4 linked regions of the Macaca fascicularis genome follow. The protein of the gene in region 1 interacts with the protein of each later gene in a biochemical or structural test. Links are inferred from orthologs where the notes say so. Each region holds a gene or a part of one and is shown in the gene's direction. Other genes may lie near its edges.

Region 1 (4,111 bases):
AAGTGCAGCATGCACTTAACTAGTACTGAGATTTGTTCTTGTTCCTGCTATTTACCTGTGATGCCTTGGACAGGTTATAACCTTTTCTTTGTTTCAGAGTTCTCCTCTTAAGGATGAAGTGAATTATTGTATCCGCTTCTTTGGTTGTATGGTTTCAATGAATGTAAAGATAATGAGAACTGCCTGGCACATAATTAGCACTCAATACATGTTAGCTATTATTACTATTAAAAATTTTCATTTTGGTTGGTAGAACCATACCATCTTTAGGTTCATATTTAAATACAAAGAAGAAACAGTTAATCAACCTGCATTCATACTTTGATAGAAAGATCATCTTCAGTGGCACAATGCCTTCTAATAATCACTTTGGGAATTCTGAACCTGTTGTAAGAAATTTGAAATAGGACACATTCTCTCTGAAGTGAGAGAACTGTTTTGTCCAAAAGGAAAGTTAATGCAGGAAATTTTCTCTAACCAGATATTGAATAAATTTCTCATTCTAAATGTAAAGAAGAAGTAAGCAAGAAATTAACAGATGGTCTATGCCTTGATTTCATGCATTATAAGGAGTAGATAAACCTCACGTTTGCAATCCCAGCATTTTGGGAGGCTGAGTGGGGAGGATTGCTGGAAGCCAGGAGTTAAGGACTAGCCTGGGCAATAGGTTGGGACCCAGTCTGTATTAAAAAAGAAAAAAAAATCAAGTAGACGAGCCTTTTAAAAAATAACATGCTTATACTTAATTAAGGTAGCTTTGTGGAAGTTAAAGGTGTAGAGAACAAGATTATTTTCTAATTATGTTTTCTTGAACATCTAAAGAGACAGGGCTATAAGAAGCCTATATTTGAAAGCCTGTGGGCCAAATACAGGAGAAACTATTCTCAGCTTAAAAACAAGGTAGCTTTATATAAACAGACTGTTCAGAGCAGCAGCCTCTAATGTAATTATTATGAGGAGTTAATCTGAGAAGGTGAAAAAGAAGACACTAGAAGCCTGCATTTTTAAAGGAGAAGAGGAAAAAGGTAGAAATGAAATACTAGGAACGATAAAATGAAACAGTTTAGTGTACATTTTTATGAAGATGCTATAGATTTGTATTTCTTAACTCTTAACAATACATACTTTTTCTAATAGTAATGTATTTGTTATTGAAAAGTTGGATAAATATAGAAAAAAATCAGATAATCCTTGGACCTAAAAAATTCATAGTTAATATTTTTGGGTGTCTATAATTTTCTAAATTTTAATGGACAAAACCACATTCCTCCAATTAAGCAGAAAAAAATGTAAATCTGACACTTCGTTCAAGTAGAATACACTTCCAAATTATGTTCATAGTTTCATACTATAGTAATAGAAATAGTCACATGTTATGTAATATGAGTTCAGGATATGTCTTGCAAATTTGCATTGAGATTTAACATAGATTTGTCTTTTAATTTGTTCTTTATAAAATTGGAAATAAATTTAAGATGCTTGTTTTACTTAGCGTTTGGAAATTAGGAAAGAAAGTCTTGAAGACCTATGATAATACTTTTCATTGGGCTTTGTATTCATTTTTTCTAAATTAGATTAAGCACCATTTGGGTAAATATTTTTCAAGGTTTATTTTGCTTTTTTTCTGCCTGAACTTGTCTGTAATACTGATAGCACTTTTCCTTTGAGAGCTGTGTTAGACTTTTATTTCTACTTCACAGAAAATAATAACAATAACACATTTTAGGTATAGTGGAAGAATACCAGCTTCCTTATCATGACCTAGTGCCCAGTGACCCCTCCTACGAGGACATGAGAGAGATTGTGTGCATCAAGAAGTTACGCCCCTCATTCCCAAACCGATGGAGCAGTGATGAGGTAAGGCTCAATTGAGGTAACCATGTGGCTGCAACTGACTTCTAAATAGACTTCTGTTTTAGCCAAAATTCCACGTATTCATTGTAGGAATTCTTCTTTGTTTTAATGGTGATGGTGATGGCACCTTTTTGCAGTGATTTATATGAAGATAAGTGTAGTTTATTAAATTACTTGTTCTACTTTTCCAATTTTATTTTGCCAGTTCCAGAATATATTGAGTGGGCTGGTCAGTGTTTAACCTGCATAACAAATAACACTATTTTCCTTATTTATAATGTCTTGACATTTGCATAAAACCTATTATTTCTCTGTGTGTGTTTTTAAAGCATCATGATTTTTCTCTGTAACAAACCCATGTACAGCGTTCTCCCATTTTGATTAGAGAAAAAAGTAAGCATGTTAAAGTGATACAAGTTGACCTAGTTAAGATACCTGACTGTGCTGGGTGTCTTTGTTAATAAGGATGATATGTGATTTGAACAAATCCACCTTCAGCTTGGCTCTAAGGATGTAGTGGTGAAACCTACATAGGTCTGGAAAGGAGCTGCTAGGAAGGAGGAAATGAGTCTAGCCTTTCCTGACTCCTCCTCCTGTTCCACATTCCTCTCCTTCCACCCTCCCAGCCTTCAAACTCACTGTGTTCTAGAGTTCTCTGGCGGACTGGAATATTCAAGATGAGTTTGAAGCACCGCTGGGAGAAAAAAAAAAAAAAAAAAAACCCGGCTCTTATCAAACATCTACCAAAGCACTGCAAAGGAGGGACAGAGCACTATTTCTTAAGTGTAAAAGCCATTTAAAAGTAATCTCTGGGCCGGGCATGGTGACTCACATCTGTAATCCCAGCACTTTGGCAGGCCGAGGCGGGTGGATCACTTGAGTCCAGAAGTTCAAGACCAGCCTGGCCAATATAGTGAAAACCCATCTCTATTAAAAAATGCAAACAATAGCTTAGTGTTGTGGTTCACGCCTGTATTCCCACCTACTCAGGAGATTGATGCACAAGAATTGCTTGAACCCAGAAGGCAGAGGTTGCAGTGAGCCAGAATCATGCCACTGCACTCGACAGACCAAGACCCTGTCTCAAAACAAACAAACAACAACAACAACAAAAACACCTTTGGCTCGTTGGTTTTGTGTCTGGTTACTAAAATGCTATATAATAATATATGTTTTCCAGCAAGCTGTGCAGAAAGCTTTATGAGATGCTGGAGCTCTGTTATTGTCGGCTTTTGGTGTTACTTGAAATCTCTTCACTGAGGATTTCTTATGAAGTGAAATTGTACTTTTCAATAGGAAGACCAATAATTGATGTACCACAGGAGAAAGTTTTAGTGATGCTGTGCACAGGTCATTAATCTTGTTAAATGGTGCAGTGTGATGCTATTACTGCAGCAGACAGCTATGATTTAGGAATAACTGTGTTTGCATAGTGTGGAATTAGATAAAAGATTTAAACTTATCAAGTGTTGTAAACAATCTGGGAGTACTGAGTGGAATACAAACTCCCTGGGTATGTTTATGTTTGCTTAACACTAACTTCAAAGACACCCTTCTACAGTCAGCAGAACCACCTGCTTGCTTCTGTCACAAAGAAGACATGAACATCTGTTTTAGTCATATATAATTTTGCATGAAAAAAACCTACAGAATTTTATTCCTACATGGTTTTAAGGGTACCTTTTAAAAATATATTCAAACTTAATGAACCTAAAGCTAAAAAGCTACATTGTATCAGGTGCCAGCATTGCAGATGATACATTTTTCTAACATTTCTCTTCCTCAGTGTCTAAGGCAGATGGGGAAACTCATGACAGAATGCTGGGCTCACAATCCTGCATCAAGGCTGACAGCCCTGCGTGTTAAGAAAACACTTGCCAAAATGTCAGAGTCCCAGGACATTAAACTCTGATATGACAGGAAAAGTAAGCATCTCTGCAGAAAGCCAACAGGTACTCTTCTGTTTGTGGGCAGAGCAAAAGACGTCAAATAAGCATCCACAGTACAAGCCTTGAACATCGTCCTGCTTCCCAGTGGGTTCAGACCTTACCTCTCAGGGAGCGACCTGGACAAAGACAGAGAAGCTCCCAGAAGCAGAGATTGATCTGTGTCTGTTTGTAGGAGGGAGAAACCGCTTGGGTAACTTGTTCAAGATATGATGCATGTTGCTTTCTGAGAAAGCCCTGTATTTTGGGATTGCCTTTTTTTTTTTTTTTAAGATGCTTTCATTTTGCCAAAATAAAACAGATAATGTGGA
Region 2 (4,669 bases), on another chromosome or scaffold:
CTGGGGCCTATGTATAAATGGCCAGGACCTGCAGGCTGGCATGGGGGCTCAGAACCTGTTCCATCTCACAGCCTGGGGCCTGGGTGTAAATGGCCAGGACCTGCAGGCTGGTATCTTTCTGCTCCTTGCCTGGCCTCTGGCCTCCCCTTTCTCTACCCATGTGGCTCCTCAGGCTGCCATCTAGTCCAAAAGCCCCCAAGGGAGACCCAGAGGACCACTTGGTCAAACTACTTCTGCTCCAGAAAACTGTCGAAGACCATAATTCTCTTCCCCAGCTCTCGTGCTCCAGGAAGGACAGCCCCAAAGTGAGGCTTAGCCAGAGCCCCTCCCAGACAACCCCCCTGCCCCCACCCGCTTCCCTAACCTCAGTCCTTCCCAGTTCATCCCAGAGCCCCTCTGGGGATCCTCTCTCACCCAGCCCCAGCAGGGGAAGGAGACAGGATGAACTTTTACCCTGCTGCCCTCACTGCCACTCTGGGTGCAGTAATTCCCTTGAGATCCCACACTGGCAGAGGGACCAGTAGGTTCTGAGTGGTCTGGGGACTCGCTGTGACAGCGTGCATGTCTCAGTATTGATTGAGGGATGAATAGATGAGGAGAGGCAGGAGAGGAGGCTGATGGGGAGGTCTCAGGCACAGACCCTTGGAGGGGAAGAGGATGCGAAGACCAGCGGCTGGCTCCCCAGGCACTGCGACGGGGAGGGCTGATGGGAACCCCTAGTGGTGGGGCTGGGGTGTCTGGTCTCAGGCTGAGGGGTGGCTGGAAAGATACAGGGCCCCTTAGAGGAGAAAGTGGGAAGAACCCCCCAGCTCAAACGAAGTTCACTTATTCACTCAACAAATCGTGATTGCGCAGCCACAGTGGCTACCAGGCGCTGGGTTCAAGGCACTGCGGGCACCAGAGCTGCGGAGAAGATCGCTGGTCCTGGCCTCAGTGCGCTGGGCGTCTAGCGGGGATAAGAAGGCAATAAAGAAGGCACGGAGTAACTCAAACAACAATTCCAGACAGCAAGAGAAATTACAGGAAAGAAAACAAATGTACGTGGGGGTGAGGCGAGGAAACAACCTCAGCTTGGCAGGTCTTGGAGGTCTCTGGGAGAAAGCAGGGTCTGATGGGGGGCGGGAGGTGGTGAGCCGGAAGGCGTCCAGGCGGAGGGAATGGCGAGCGCAGAGACAAGCTGGCAACCGGTTCAGAGAGGCGCGGAGGGGTCAGCGTGGCTGGCTTAAAAGGAGACGGGGACTGAGGGGCAAGACCGCCTCAAGGGTCACCGCTTCCAGGAAGCCTTCTATTTCCGCGCCACCTCCGCGCTCCCCCAACTTTTCCCACCGCGGCCCGCAGCCCACCGGTCCCGTTCGGGCCGCCTTCCTGGTCCGGACCGCGAGTGCCAAGAGGGCAGGGCCGGCTTGGATTCCTCCAGCCGCATCCCCGCGACGTCCCGCCAGGCTCTAGGCTCCCCGTGGGCACTCGGTAAACATTTGTCGAGCGCTCTAGAGGGAATGAATGAACCCATTGGGCACAGCTAGGGGGAGGGCGGGGCCGAGGGCAGGTGGGAGGCCGCCGGCGCGGGAGGGGCCCCTTGAAGCCCGTCCTCCTCCTCCTCCTCTGCCCAGGCCCCAGCGTGTACCACTCTGGCGCTCCAGAGGCGGCCTCTTGTGCGATCCAGGGCGCGCAGGGCTGGGAGAGCGCCCCGGGGCCCCTGCTCTCCACGCCAGAGGTTGGAAGAGGGTGGGTCGCCGCCGCCTGAGGGCGAGAGCGCCAGAGGAGCGGGAAGAAGGAGCGCTAGCCCGCCCGCCTGCCTCCTCGCTGCCTCCCCGGCACTGGCTCTCTGGACTCCTAGGCTTGCTGGCTGCTCCTCCCACCCGCGCCCGCCTCCTCACTCGCCTCTTCGTTCGCCGGGGCTGCTTTCCAAGCCCGGCGGTGCGCCCGGGCGAGTGCGGGGCGAGGGGCCCGGGGCCAGCACCCAGCAGGGGGCGGGGGTCCGGGCAGAGCGCGGCAGGCCGGGGAGGGGCCATGTCTGGCGCGGGCGCAGCGGGGCCCGTCTGCAGCAAGTGACCGAGCGGCGCGAACGGCCGCCTGCCCCTTCTGCCACCTGGGGCGGTGCGGGCCCGGAGCCCGAAGCCCGGAGCCCGGGTCGCGCGTAGAGCCGGCGCGATGCACGTGCGCTCGCTGCGCGCTGCGGCGCCGCACAGCTTCGTGGCGCTCTGGGCACCCCTGTTCCTGCTGCGCTCCGCCCTGGCCGACTTCAGCCTGGACAACGAGGTGCACTCGAGCTTCATCCATCGGCGCCTCCGCAGCCAGGAGCGGCGGGAGATGCAGCGCGAGATCCTCTCCATTTTGGGCTTGCCCCACCGCCCGCGCCCGCACCTCCAGGGCAAGCACAACTCGGCGCCCATGTTCATGCTGGACCTGTACAACGCCATGGCGGTGGAGGAGGGCGGCGGGCCCGGCGGCCAGGGCTTCTCCTACCCCTACAAGGCCGTCTTCAGCACCCAGGGCCCCCCTCTGGCCAGCTTGCAAGATAGCCATTTCCTCACCGACGCCGACATGGTCATGAGCTTCGTCAACCTCGGTAAGGGCAGGCGGGGGTACGCGTGTCTGTTCGGGGGCACTTTGAAACCGGGAGGGAGGGAGCCGCTTCTTCTATACAGCCCGCCCAGCTTTCTGCTCCTGGTTGAAATCGCAGTGCCTGCCCGAGGGTCTCCCACCCACGGCCCTATGGCTCCCAAGCTGTGTGCGCCTCCAGGTCTGGCGCGCTGGGCTCGGTGGGCCTGTGGGGGTTACTGGGAAGGAGGGATCCTCGGAAGTCCCCTCCATGTTACGCCGCCGGCCGCATCTCTGGGACTGGAGGCGCCGGCCGTTCAAAGCGCGGGGCTTGGTCATGTGAGCTGTCCTGGGCTGGCGCGGCTCGCGCTACCTGGATGTAAAGGGCCCTTCCCGGCGAGGCTGCCTTCCCGCCCTTCCTGGGCCCCTCTCAGCCCTGCCTGGCCCTGGCATCTCGGCCGTCGCACTCCCTTACCCGCCCTGACAAGCCCTACCTGTCCCCTAGTGGTGCGCCCGCCTTAGCCTACCGCGCGCTCCGAACGCCTTGGGGCCCCTCTCCGGGCCGCCGGATGCCCCATTCTCTCTTGGCTGGAGTTGGGGAGCTTGCTAGTTTGCGTTCTTTTCTTTTTTCTTTTTTTTTCTTTCTTTTATTTTCTTTATTTTCTTTTTTTCTTTTTTTTTTTTTTTTTGAGACGGAGTTTCGCTCTTCTTGTCCAGGCTGCAGTACAATGGCGCAATCCTTGCTCACCGCAACCTCTGCCTCCCGGGTTCAAGCGATTCTCGTGCCTCAGCCTCCCGAGTAGCTGGGATTACAGGCATGCACCACCACGCCTGGCTAATTTTGTATTTTTAGTAGAGACTGTGTTTCTCCATGTTGGTCAGGCTGGTCTCGAACTCCCGATCTCAGGTGATCCTCCTGCCTCAACCTCCCAAAGTGCTCGGAATACAGGCGTGAGCCACAGTGCCCTGGCTCTAGTTTTCTATTTTAAATATTTAGTGGTAGGTCTCGGGCCGGCAGAATCCATTTTCAGCATTTATCACGTGTGGCGCGCAAACCACAGGTTTTGGCGATTGGGTTGCGCGGGATCTCCGAGCTGACGCCGCGGGGGCGACTGGGGGTCCCAGTTTACGATTGGAGCCGCGACGACCCCGGGGACGCGAGCCTGGGGCTGCGGCGAGGGCCGGGGAGCTCCCCCTCCGTCTGCGCGCACTCATTCTCCAGACTTGCTCAAACTAACCCCCGGCAGCGCTCTGCGGGACTGATGATCAAATATTTGGTTTCCGAGATAACACGCCCGGATAGCGCTGTTTCCTGAGCGCTTTCATTCTACTTGTGTAACTTGCTGCGAAAACCCGAACCAAGTCAAGACAGCAAACTCACGCCCACGGGCGCTGTGTCAACATGGAAATAATGATACTGAAGCCCCACGCTGGGCACCTGGGGCGTGGACTGGGGGCGCGGGGAAGCGCAGATCCGCCTTCATGCTTCCCCCTCCTGATAAGGTCCCTGGAGTTCCCGGGGAGGCCATTGTCTGTACTTAATAACCAAATCCAGCTAGTGAGCCAAGCTTCAGCGAGCAAGGGGTGGGAGGTTTAGATGCCAAAATACCTTCAAGAAAGTTTAAATTATACTAAGCAGCCAGTTAAGAGGGAAGCAGCAACATATGACCTGATTTAGAACCATCTCCGAGATGCATGAGGTGGAAAGAAGCAAGGTGCAGGTGAGCGGCCTGCATGTATGCTTTTGTGTATCATCGTGTCCTCCTGGAGGAAGACACCAGGAACTGGAGAGAGATCTTACTGGAGGGCTAGAGAGGTGGGGGCACAGCTGGGGCTTAGGGAGTGGGAGCTGGGGTCTAATGTTTCATTGTCTGCACTTCTGTATTGGTGATTTTTTTAAAAAAACAATGCGTATTTATTAACTATACCAAAAACTAAAGGAAAATTCCAAATACATACACACAAATAATGAAGGCAGAGCTCTGTCGCCCTCCTGAAGCCTGGGGTTAGCCAAGGCCCTTTCTCTGGTGGGGGATTTATGGCATCTTCCATTCTGTTGGGTACCCTGGACTCCCACTGAATGTGCAGATCCCAGCGGCTGCCTTCAGAGCCTGGCTGGGGTCATTAA
Region 3 (4,844 bases), on another chromosome or scaffold:
AGGTTACAGTGAGCCAAGATCATGCCACTGCACTCCAGCCTAGGTGACAGCGCGAGACTCTGTCTCAAAAAAAAAAAAAAAAAGAAAAGCCTAGCTGACTATTGCTTCTCCCCGGCCGTCCTTCTTACAGCATAACAAGTGTTGTTGCAGTGAAATGTACAAAAGGGGTAATTGGCCCTGTCTGGGGACCAGGAAAGACTTCCCGAAGGAGGTGAATTTTCAGCTAAACTTCTCAGGATGTGGAGTGCTTCCTCCAGTTGTGGGAGAGAGAGAGGAGGAGATTTCAGGTGAAGTGAACAGCTTTCCCCGCTGACCCTGGGGTAAGTTGCCCAGGGGCTCTATCGCACAGGTCCCCCAGAGGAAGGGAGCTTCCATACTTCAATGGGTTTTCATTTAGAATACTCGAGTTCAGCTGGAATTCAGAACTTCCAGACTTACCAGAAAAGCATCATGTGGGAAATTGTGCCGGGCGCAGTGGCTCACGCCTATAATCTCAGCGCTCTAGGAGACCGAGGCAGCTGGATCACGATGTCAGGAGATGGAGACCATCCTGGCTAACACGGTGAAACCCCGTCTGTGCTACAAACATAAAAAATCAGCCGGGCGTGGTGGCGGGGGCCTGTAGTCCCAGCTACTCGGGAGGCTGAGTCGGGAGAACGGCGTGAACCTGGGAGGCGGAGCTTGCAGGGAGCCGAGATCGCGCCACTGCACTCCAGCCTGGGCTACACAGCGAGACTCCGTAGAAAAAAAGAAAAAAGAAAAAAGAAAAGCATCATGTGGGAAATGGCTTTTCCAGCCTCCTGTAGGGGCCGCTGCTGCCCCAGACTCAGCCAGTCTCTTCTAAGAAAACTCGGAGGACGTCTTTGCCGGGGTGGAGGTGGGGTACACCCTGGACCTGCCGCCATCCAAGGAGTGGACTTAAGGGCGGCAGTGCCCCCAAGCCTGAAGAATATGCACTCAGTCAATGGCATTTGGTGGTAGGGAGGGGGTGTAGTGGGCACAGATATTTTTCAGTCTCTGGGTCACCACAAGTTTATTAAAATAAAAGAAAATGTGGGTAAATGCTGCCATCTGTGCTGTCCCTACTCCCAATACACACACACACACACACACACACACACACACACAGAGGCACACACACACAGACACACATAAACACACACATACAACAAATCAGGTCCCAGGCTAGATGCAGGAGTTGAAACTGCTTTAAAAACACTCTAAGGACTTAACTACAAACCCACACTCCCCATGCTTCTGGGGCTTAAGATCTTTGAGCTCATTCTTCAGCATCTCTCCTTGGGAAGGTGGGGTGGGCTGCTCCATGAGGTGGAGGTGAAGACCCCTGAGTCTGCTCCATGGAGGGGGAGGCCCCCTAAGCCTAGAGTCCCGCTGCGGGGCTCTGTGCCAAGAGCCCCCGTGAGCCATGGCCTCGAAAGGGCAGCGGTGATTTTTTTCACATAAATATATCGCACTTAAATGAGTTTAGACAGCATGACATCAGAGAGTAATTAAATTGGTTTGGGTTGGAATTCCGTTTCCAATTCCTGAGTTCAGGTTTGTAAAAGATTTTTCTGAGCACCTGCAGGCCTGTGTGTGTGTGTGTGTGTGTGTGTGTGTGAAGTATTTTCACTGGAAAGGATTCAAAACTAGGGGGAAAAAAAAACTGGAGCACACAGGCAGCATTACGCCATTCTTCCTTCTTGGAAAAATCCCTCAGCCTTATACAAGCCTCCTTCAAGCCCTCAGTCAGTTGTGCAGGAGAAAGGGGGCGGTCGGCTTTCTCCTTTCAAGAACAAGTTATTTTCAGCTGCTGACTGGAGACGGTGCACGTCTGGATACGAGAGCATTTCCACTATGGGACTGGATACAAACACACACCCGGCAGACTTCAAGAGTCTCAGACTGAGGAGAAAGCCTTTCCTTCTGCTGCTACTGCTGCTGCCGCTGCTTTTGAAAGTCCACTCCTTTCATGGTTTTTCCTGCCAAACCAGAGGCACCTTCGCTGCTGCCGCTGTTCTCTTTGGTGTCATTCAGCGGCTGGCCAGAGGATGAGACTCCCCAAACTCCTCACTTTCTTGCTTTGGTACCTGGCTTGGCTGGACCTGGAATTCATCTGCACTGTGTTGGGTGCCCCTGACTGGGGCCAGAAAGCCCAGGGGACCAGGCCAGGATTGGCCAAAGCAGAGGCCAAGGAGAGGCCCCCCCTGGCCCGGAACGTCTTCAGGCCAGGGGGTCACAGCTATGGTGGGGGGGCCGCCAATGCCAGGGCAAAGGGAGGCACCGGGCACACAGGAGGCCTGACACAGCCCAAAAAGGATGAACCCAAAAAGCTGCCCCCCAGACCGGGTGGCCCTGAACCCAAGCCAGGACACCCTCCCCAAACAAGGCAGGCTACAGCCCGGACTGTGACCCCAAAAGGACAGCTTCCCGGGGGCAAGGTACCCCCAAAAGCAGGATCTGTCCCCAGCTCCTTCCTGCTGAAGAAGGCCAGGGAGCCCGGGTCCCCGCGAGAGCCCAAGGAGCCGTTCCGCCCGCCCCCCATCACACCCCACGAGTACATGCTCTCGCTGTACAGGACGCTGTCCGATGCTGACAGAAAGGGAGGCAACAGCAGCGTGAAGTTGGAGGCTGGCCTGGCCAACACCATCACCAGCTTTATTGACAAAGGGCAAGGTGAGGGGGCGGGGTGGCAGGGGCACGGCTCAGAGGGAGGGGCATCTGCATGAATGGAGGGGCTTTCAAAGCCCTGGCACTGCCCTGGTGGGAGACACTGTGTGCATCTGGCCCGGGGTGGGTGTATGGGGACGCTCACACATATCTCACACATAGCAGATCCCGAGCTGCCCACACATCAGGGCTGGAGGGCACCTAGGAATCACCAGGTTCAATGCCTGCAAGGTGCAGGGCGGGCACTAAAGCCTAGAGAGGAGACAACACCTGCCAGTTGGTGGCAGAGTTGGAGACCGGATTCCAAGACTTGATTCCCCAGCTGTGCATCTGTCCCTGCTGGGCTGGCCGAACTTTCCACGCTCCAGGGGTTTGTAGGTGGTCTCAGATGGCAGAGAAAGAAATGAATCTTGAGGTCCCCGTGGTTCTGCAACTTTGCCCTCAGGCAAGGGGATAGAGGAGGCAAGAGAGGTGCTCACAGTAAATGGGGCATCTTGGAGTCATGGAATGATGTTCGAATATATGGGGAGGGAGCAGACCTAGGGTCTAACTCGCAGTGTGACCTTGGGAAAGCCCCTTCTCACTTGGGGTCTCTGTTTTCCCATCTGTACACCTATATGGGGTTGGACAGGGTGGTTTCTGAGAGCGCTTCCGACATGAAAACTTTAGGTCCTGTCCTGAACACGCCTCATTCTCCTTACATTAACTCGGGAGACCTCTCTCTGCTCCCCTCTGTCTCTCTCTGCCCACCTAGTGTTACTGTTGCAGCTTTTCCTCTCCACTTGCTGTGTGATCTAAGCAAGTCCCTCCCGCTCTGAGGGCCTCAGTTTCTTCCTAGTGTGAAGAGGGAGGTGGGCTGTTGGTCGCTCAAGTTGCCTGCAGCTCATTTGCTCTGGTCCTAGGCTGGCAGGGTGGGGGAGGGGTCAGAGGGTGGGAGAGGTTTCTCATTAGAGCTGGCCTGGAGGGGGCTGCCGGGGCGGGGGGTGGGGGGGTGGGAGAGGCACAGAGGCAGCAGGTCTGGCTGAGGTGGGGGAGGTGGTCTGGCTGCCTGCCCAGCCAGGGAAAGCTGTGACCCCTTGGGGGCTCATAAAATAAGTCCTTGTGCCCCCCAGCACTAAGGGAGCTTCGAGAGGGGGAGATGGGGAGTTTAAAGGCCTAATTAGTCACCTTCTAGAGCAATATATGAAAGCTCCCCAATGGCAAATTGGTATTCAGGAAGGAGGGCATGCTGATTCAGAGATACTACTGAGCTTCTCACATAAACATACATAGCCTTATGTTTATACAGACGTGCTGAATCACACATGTACACGCATGCTGACTCACACACGTACACACATGCTGAACCACACATGTACACACATGCCGAATCACACATGTACACGCATGCCGAATCACACACGTACGCATGTGCACACACACCTTCTTACATACACGTGTACACAAGATCGATTATGCACATACATACATATATGTGCTCTTCAAATAGTACACAAGCCCAATCATTTATACATATAATGCATCATTAACGTATACTCTTTCATATTCACACATGAACCCAACATTAACGTATACTCTTTCATATTCACACATGAACCTAATCACACACACACATACAACTGTAACACACGCACACACTCAGGAGAGTAAGACACATAGGCAACAAAATCCTTGCACTGGGAAGCCAGGAAAATTGGGCTGTAGGTCAGTGTGGACCAGCTTTGACATTAAGTTGCTGTGTGACCTTAGTCAAGTCACTCCCCATCTCTGTGCCTCATCTGTAAAACAAGAGCACTAAGGTCTCCTTTAAGGGATGGTGGAAGCAACTGAGAATTTGAGCAAGTCATCTAACTTCTCTGAACCTTGGGATTCTCCTCCAGAAAAGCATGGGTTTTTTTTGTTGTTGTTGTTTATTTGTTTTGTTGTTGTTTGTTTGTTTGTTTTTTAGCCAGGGTCTCTCTCTGTTGCCCAGGCTGGAGTGCAGTAGTGAATTCATGGCTCACTGAAGCCTCGACCTCCCTGGGGTCAGTCAATCCTCCCACCTCAGCCTCCTGAGTAGCTGGGACTACATGTGCACGCCACCATGCCTGGTTAGTTTTTGTATCTTTTTGTAGAGACAGAGTGTCACCATGTTGTGCAGGCTAGTTTCAAACTCCTGAGCACAAGCAATCTGC
Region 4 (4,629 bases), on another chromosome or scaffold:
CGCCGAGTTGTTTGCGGTCCAGTGACTCTGAGTGACAATCAACTTCTATAGCACTTTTTTTTTGGTCAGGAAATAAAGTAGCATGTTCCTGAATAATTCCCCCCACCCCGTTTTATTTTCCTGGTAGTCAGGCTTCCTCCAAAATACCTTATTTGACCTTCATACCTTTAGAAACAGCAAGGGCCTGATTGGCCTCTGTGGGTTGCTAATCCGATTTACGTGAGCGGAACCTGGTATTATTTTAGCTCCCCCACCGAAAAAATAATACACATGGATAATAGTTTTATTACCAGCTCCCGCTTGACTTTTTTCTCTCTGGTTTGCAGGCCCGATAGCTCTGGGAAAGTAGACCGTGGCCTCTTCCAAAAATGTTCTGCCCTTGATTTCGGGAATCATTTGGGCAAGCCCGAGGTGCTGTGCATGGGGGCTCCTGGAATCCTGGGAAGGCCAGAAAGCCTTGGCCCCAGACTCATCGTGCAGCAGCTCTGAGGAATGTTTCGGCTGAGGAGTGACTTGAGCGAATATTCAGCTGAGGAGTGACTTGGCCACGTGTCACAGCCCTACTTCTTGGGGGCCTGATGGAAGAGGGTGGAGTAGAAGGTTCCAAGGTCCCAAACTGAAATTGTCCTGTATGCTTGGTTCACACAGTGCGTTATTTTACCTTCCTCTGAGCTGTTAATCGCCTGCCTCTGAGCTGGGTGAGATAAACATCACAAGGCACAAAGTGGTTGTACCATGAAAAGAAATCAAATCCCTCCCATCCATCCCTCAGGCTGCCACACACACAGTCTACGTTACACACATGTCACGTAAAGCAGGATGACATCCATGTCACACACGTAGACATATATTTACCGAAATGTTTACCTTCGGTTGCATATGTTCTCATATATGAATATATAGAAATATATGTACATATTTTTGTATATTGGATATATTTATATAACTGTAACATGCATATGGATATGAAAATAAATGCACACACATATTTATGTAAAAGGAAATTTGTACACATGCATTTACATATGTAAATACATACATCTCTTTGTATTAATGTTTAAAAACACTCAATTTCCAGCCTCCTGTTTTCTTTTAATTTTCCTCCTATTCCGGGGAAACAGAAGCGTGAATCCGACGTCTATGCTATGCCAAAATGCGCTGTAATTGAGGTGTTTGTTTTGTTTTGTTTTTTGAAATTGTATATTATCGAAAAACTCCAAACTGAAAGTTGAATAACGGGCCCAGAGGGGAAATAGAAGCCAGACCCTGACCCTGCATTTGTCCTGGATTTCGCCTCCGGAGTCCCCGCGAGGGTCCGGCGCGCCAGCTGATCTCTCCTTTGAGGACAGGGAGTGGAGGCGCGAGCGCCCCCCTTGGCGGCCGCGCGCCCCCGCCCTCCGCCCCACCCCGCCGCGGCTGCCCGGGCGCGCCGTCCACACCCCTGCGCGCAGCTCCCGCCCGCTCGGGGATCCCCGGCGAGCCGCGCCGCGAAGGGGGAGGTGTTCGGCCGCGGCCGGGAGGGAGCCGGCAGGCGGCGTCCCCTTTAAAAGCCGCGAGCGCCGCGCCACGGCGCCGCCGCCGCCGTCGCCGCCGGAGTCCTCGCCCCGCCGCGCTGCGCCGGGCTCGCGCTGCGCTAGTCGCTCCGCTTCCCACACCCTGCCGGGGACTGGCAGCCTCCGCCGCACATCTGCCGCCACAGCCTCCGCCGGCGACCCGAACGTTCTCGGGGCCAGCGCCGCGCGGATCACCGGGGACCGCGAGGCATCCGCGCGCCGCAGACCCCGCGCGGGCTGGAGCACCCGGCAGAGCGCGCCACAGCGCCGTGGCCTCTGCTGCCCCGGCTGCGCCAGAGTCGCGGACGGGCGCGCAGAGCGCCGGCGACTCCGGAGCCGATCCCTAGCGCCGCGATGCGGGGCACCTACTGCAGGAGATCGGGGGCCTGGGAAGCGCCGGCCGAGGTGTGATCGGACCCCAGGCTAGTCACAAAGGGCATTTGGCCCCAGGGTTAGGAGAGAGAGGAGAGAGCACAACCACCCGCCTCGGCGGCCCGGGACTTGGCTCGACTCGCCGGAGAATGCGCCCGAGGACGACGGGGCGCCAGAGCCGCGGTGCTTTCAACTGGCGAGCGCGAATGGGGGTGCACTGGAGTAAGGCAGAGTGATGCGGGGGGGCAACTCGCCTGGCACCGAAATCGCCGCCGTGCCCTTCCCCGGACCCGGCGTCGCCCAGGATGGCTGCCCCGAGCCATGGGCCGCGGCGGAGCTAGCGCAGAGCGCCCGACCCTCGCTCCCTGAGTCCTGGAGCCGGCCCCGCGCGGGGCCACGCGTCCCTCGGGCGCTGGTTCCTAAGGAGGACGACAGCACCAGCTTCTCCTTTCTCCCTTCCTTTCCCTGCCCCGCACTCCTCCCCCTGCTCGCTGTTGTTGTGTGTCAGCACTTGGCTGGGGACTTCTTGAACTTGCAGGGAGAATAACTTGAGCTCCCCACTTTGCGCCCGTGCCTTTGCCCCAGCGGAGCCTGCCTCGCCACCTCCGAGCCCCACCGCCCCTCCACTCCTCGGCCTTGCCCGAGACTGAGACGCTGTTCCCAGCGTGAAAAGAGACTGCGCGGCCGGCACCCGGGAGAAGGAGGAGGCAAAGAAAAGGAACGGACATTCGGTCCTTGCGCCAGGTCCTTTGACCAGAGTTTTTCCATGTGGACGCTCTTTCAATGGACGTGTCTCCGCGTGCTTCTTAGACGGACTGCGGTCTCCTAAAGGTAGAGGACGCGGGCCAGGGGCCGGGGTAGGTGGTAGGTGGGAGGGGGATTTGGGCAGCCACTGCGGCAGAGCCCTTCCTTACGTCCAGGCCAGAAGTAAACAGACCCCTTTCCAGTCCACGTGCAACGGAGCCCTGCGGGGTGCCCCCTTCCAGCTGTCCCGGGCGACCATCAGCCTCACCCTCCCGGCCCGCACTCTTCCACCCCTCTTTCTTACCCTCTCCCCGGAATACTTTTGGAGCTGTTAACACTTAGATGAGGTGTTTTGTTTATTTATTTATTTTTAAATTATTTATTTTATTTATTTATTTATTTATTTTTTTTTTGAGTCAAAGAAATCCCTTTGAGAGGGTAGCCCCTGGGTTTCACCCGTTAGCTGAGAACCTGTCCACCCTGCCATGGCGATCTCCCTTCTTCTAGTGTTTCTGGGAGACTTGGTTTCTTTACTCAGAGCCCTATCCCATTGAGAAAAGTACTAGGAGTTGGGGCTCTCCCTTCTTGTTTCCAGAAATGCGAGGGGTCAGTACTGAAGAATCACTTGGTGCTGTGTTTTTAACAGCTGACACGTGCATTAATAGATATTCACCATGTATGTAATCCCAGGAAGATACATGAGTATCTTGACCGTACTACGGGGATGCGGGATGGAGTTGCCTCTCCAGACACCCCTGAGTGTAGGGGCGTGGGACACAAGTTGTAAGTGGCTTCAGAAGTTGTGGCCTTGAGCTTACAGGGTCTGGAAGTTATAGGGGTGTGTGTGTGTGTGTCAGGAAGTTCTATACAGTGCCTCTAAGGAAGTCACATGCACCATTTGTGTGTGTTTATATGCCAGAGAGCGCTCAGCGCTCTGCATTTGGGTTTGTATAGGGGACGCAGGGTGTCAGACCAAGCGGTGGTTCTCCCAGGTTCCCAGCATTGGCAGTCAGCGCTGTGTTACACACAAAAAAGTGACAGTCATTGGCGCTGGTTTGGTTGGGAGGGGAGGGCAAACCCCAAATCTGATGTTAGACAAGTTAAGAGTTGGATGGGAGCGATAAATCACCTGGTTCTGGAACTTGGGGCCCTTCATTATCCCAAACATTTGAGCTTCGGTCGGTCTTACCTAGACTCGCGAGTGTGCCAAGCCAGGAGGGCAACCTGGAGGAGGCACGCCAGCCAAATGGGAGCCCGGGCCGCGGGGGCGCGAGGGGGGAGGACTGGGCGGGGAGCTCGGGTGACTCACGTCGGTCCTGTCCGCAGGTCGACCATGGTGGCCGGGACCCGCTGTCTTCTAGCGTTGCTGCTTCCCCAGGTCCTCCTGGGCGGCGCGGCTGGCCTCGTTCCGGAGCTGGGCCGCAGGAAGTTCGCGGCGTCGTCGTCGGGCCGCCCCTCATCCCAGCCCTCTGACGAGGTCCTGAGCGAGTTCGAGTTGCGGCTGCTCAGCATGTTCGGCCTGAAACAGAGACCCACCCCCAGCAGGGACGCCGTGGTGCCCCCCTACATGCTAGACCTGTATCGCAGGCACTCGGGTCAGCCGGGCTCACCTGCCCCAGACCACCGGTTGGAGAGGGCAGCCAGCCGAGCCAACACTGTGCGCAGCTTCCACCATGAAGGTGAGGCATGGAGCAGGGCGTGGGGGCGGGGAGTCACCCTGCAAAGCCCTCCACCGTGGGCAGACTGCAGCCATCCCTATAGAGGCAGCTTAGCCAGGGCGCCAGCGGACGTTTCCACTCTTGCTTCTGTACTATGGTTTCTGAATCTGATTTTAACTCACTGCTTGTGTGGTGGTGGAGCCAGGGATTCCCCTTTAGTAACTCCGCACCCTCTTCCTGGCTTGCAGCCAGAAGAGCTACTCCTCCCGGAAGGATTGGAGAGAAATCAAGTGATGGGGAAG

The links.
Region 2: the proteins of BMPR1B (region 1) and BMP7 form a complex in vitro, tested with the Homo sapiens proteins (2 studies listed by BioGRID). The link is inferred for Macaca fascicularis from reciprocal best matches to the Homo sapiens genes BMPR1B and BMP7.
Region 3: the proteins of BMPR1B (region 1) and GDF5 interact in a biophysical measurement, tested with the Homo sapiens proteins (3 studies listed by BioGRID and IntAct, with this or other methods). The link is inferred for Macaca fascicularis from reciprocal best matches to the Homo sapiens genes BMPR1B and GDF5.
Region 4: the proteins of BMPR1B (region 1) and BMP2 form a complex in vitro, tested with the Homo sapiens proteins (3 studies listed by BioGRID and IntAct, with this or other methods). The link is inferred for Macaca fascicularis from reciprocal best matches to the Homo sapiens genes BMPR1B and BMP2.

The regions. Positions count from the first base shown.
Region 1 is NC_088379.1:100,764,376-100,768,486, forward strand, and holds part of BMPR1B (bone morphogenetic protein receptor type-1B), read left to right. Parts: intron 1-1,726; coding exon 1,727-1,857; intron 1,858-3,640; coding exon 3,641-3,766; 3' UTR 3,767-4,111. UniProt on the Homo sapiens protein: On ligand binding, forms a receptor complex consisting of two type II and two type I transmembrane serine/threonine kinases.
Region 2 is NC_088384.1:113,317,129-113,321,797, reverse strand, and holds the start of BMP7 (bone morphogenetic protein 7), read left to right. Parts: upstream 1-1,652; 5' UTR 1,653-2,151; coding exon 2,152-2,569; intron 2,570-4,669. UniProt on the Homo sapiens protein: Growth factor of the TGF-beta superfamily that plays important role in various biological processes, including embryogenesis, hematopoiesis, neurogenesis and skeletal morphogenesis.
Region 3 is NC_088384.1:91,491,473-91,496,316, reverse strand, and holds the start of GDF5 (growth/differentiation factor 5), read left to right. Parts: upstream 1-1,699; 5' UTR 1,700-2,051; coding exon 2,052-2,676; intron 2,677-4,844. UniProt on the Homo sapiens protein: Growth factor involved in bone and cartilage formation. During cartilage development regulates differentiation of chondrogenic tissue through two pathways.
Region 4 is NC_088384.1:80,544,648-80,549,276, reverse strand, and holds the start of BMP2 (bone morphogenetic protein 2), read left to right. Parts: upstream 1-1,571; 5' UTR 1,572-2,756; intron 2,757-3,995; 5' UTR 3,996-4,002; coding exon 4,003-4,348; intron 4,349-4,629. UniProt on the Homo sapiens protein: Growth factor of the TGF-beta superfamily that plays essential roles in many developmental processes, including cardiogenesis, neurogenesis, and osteogenesis. Induces cartilage and bone formation.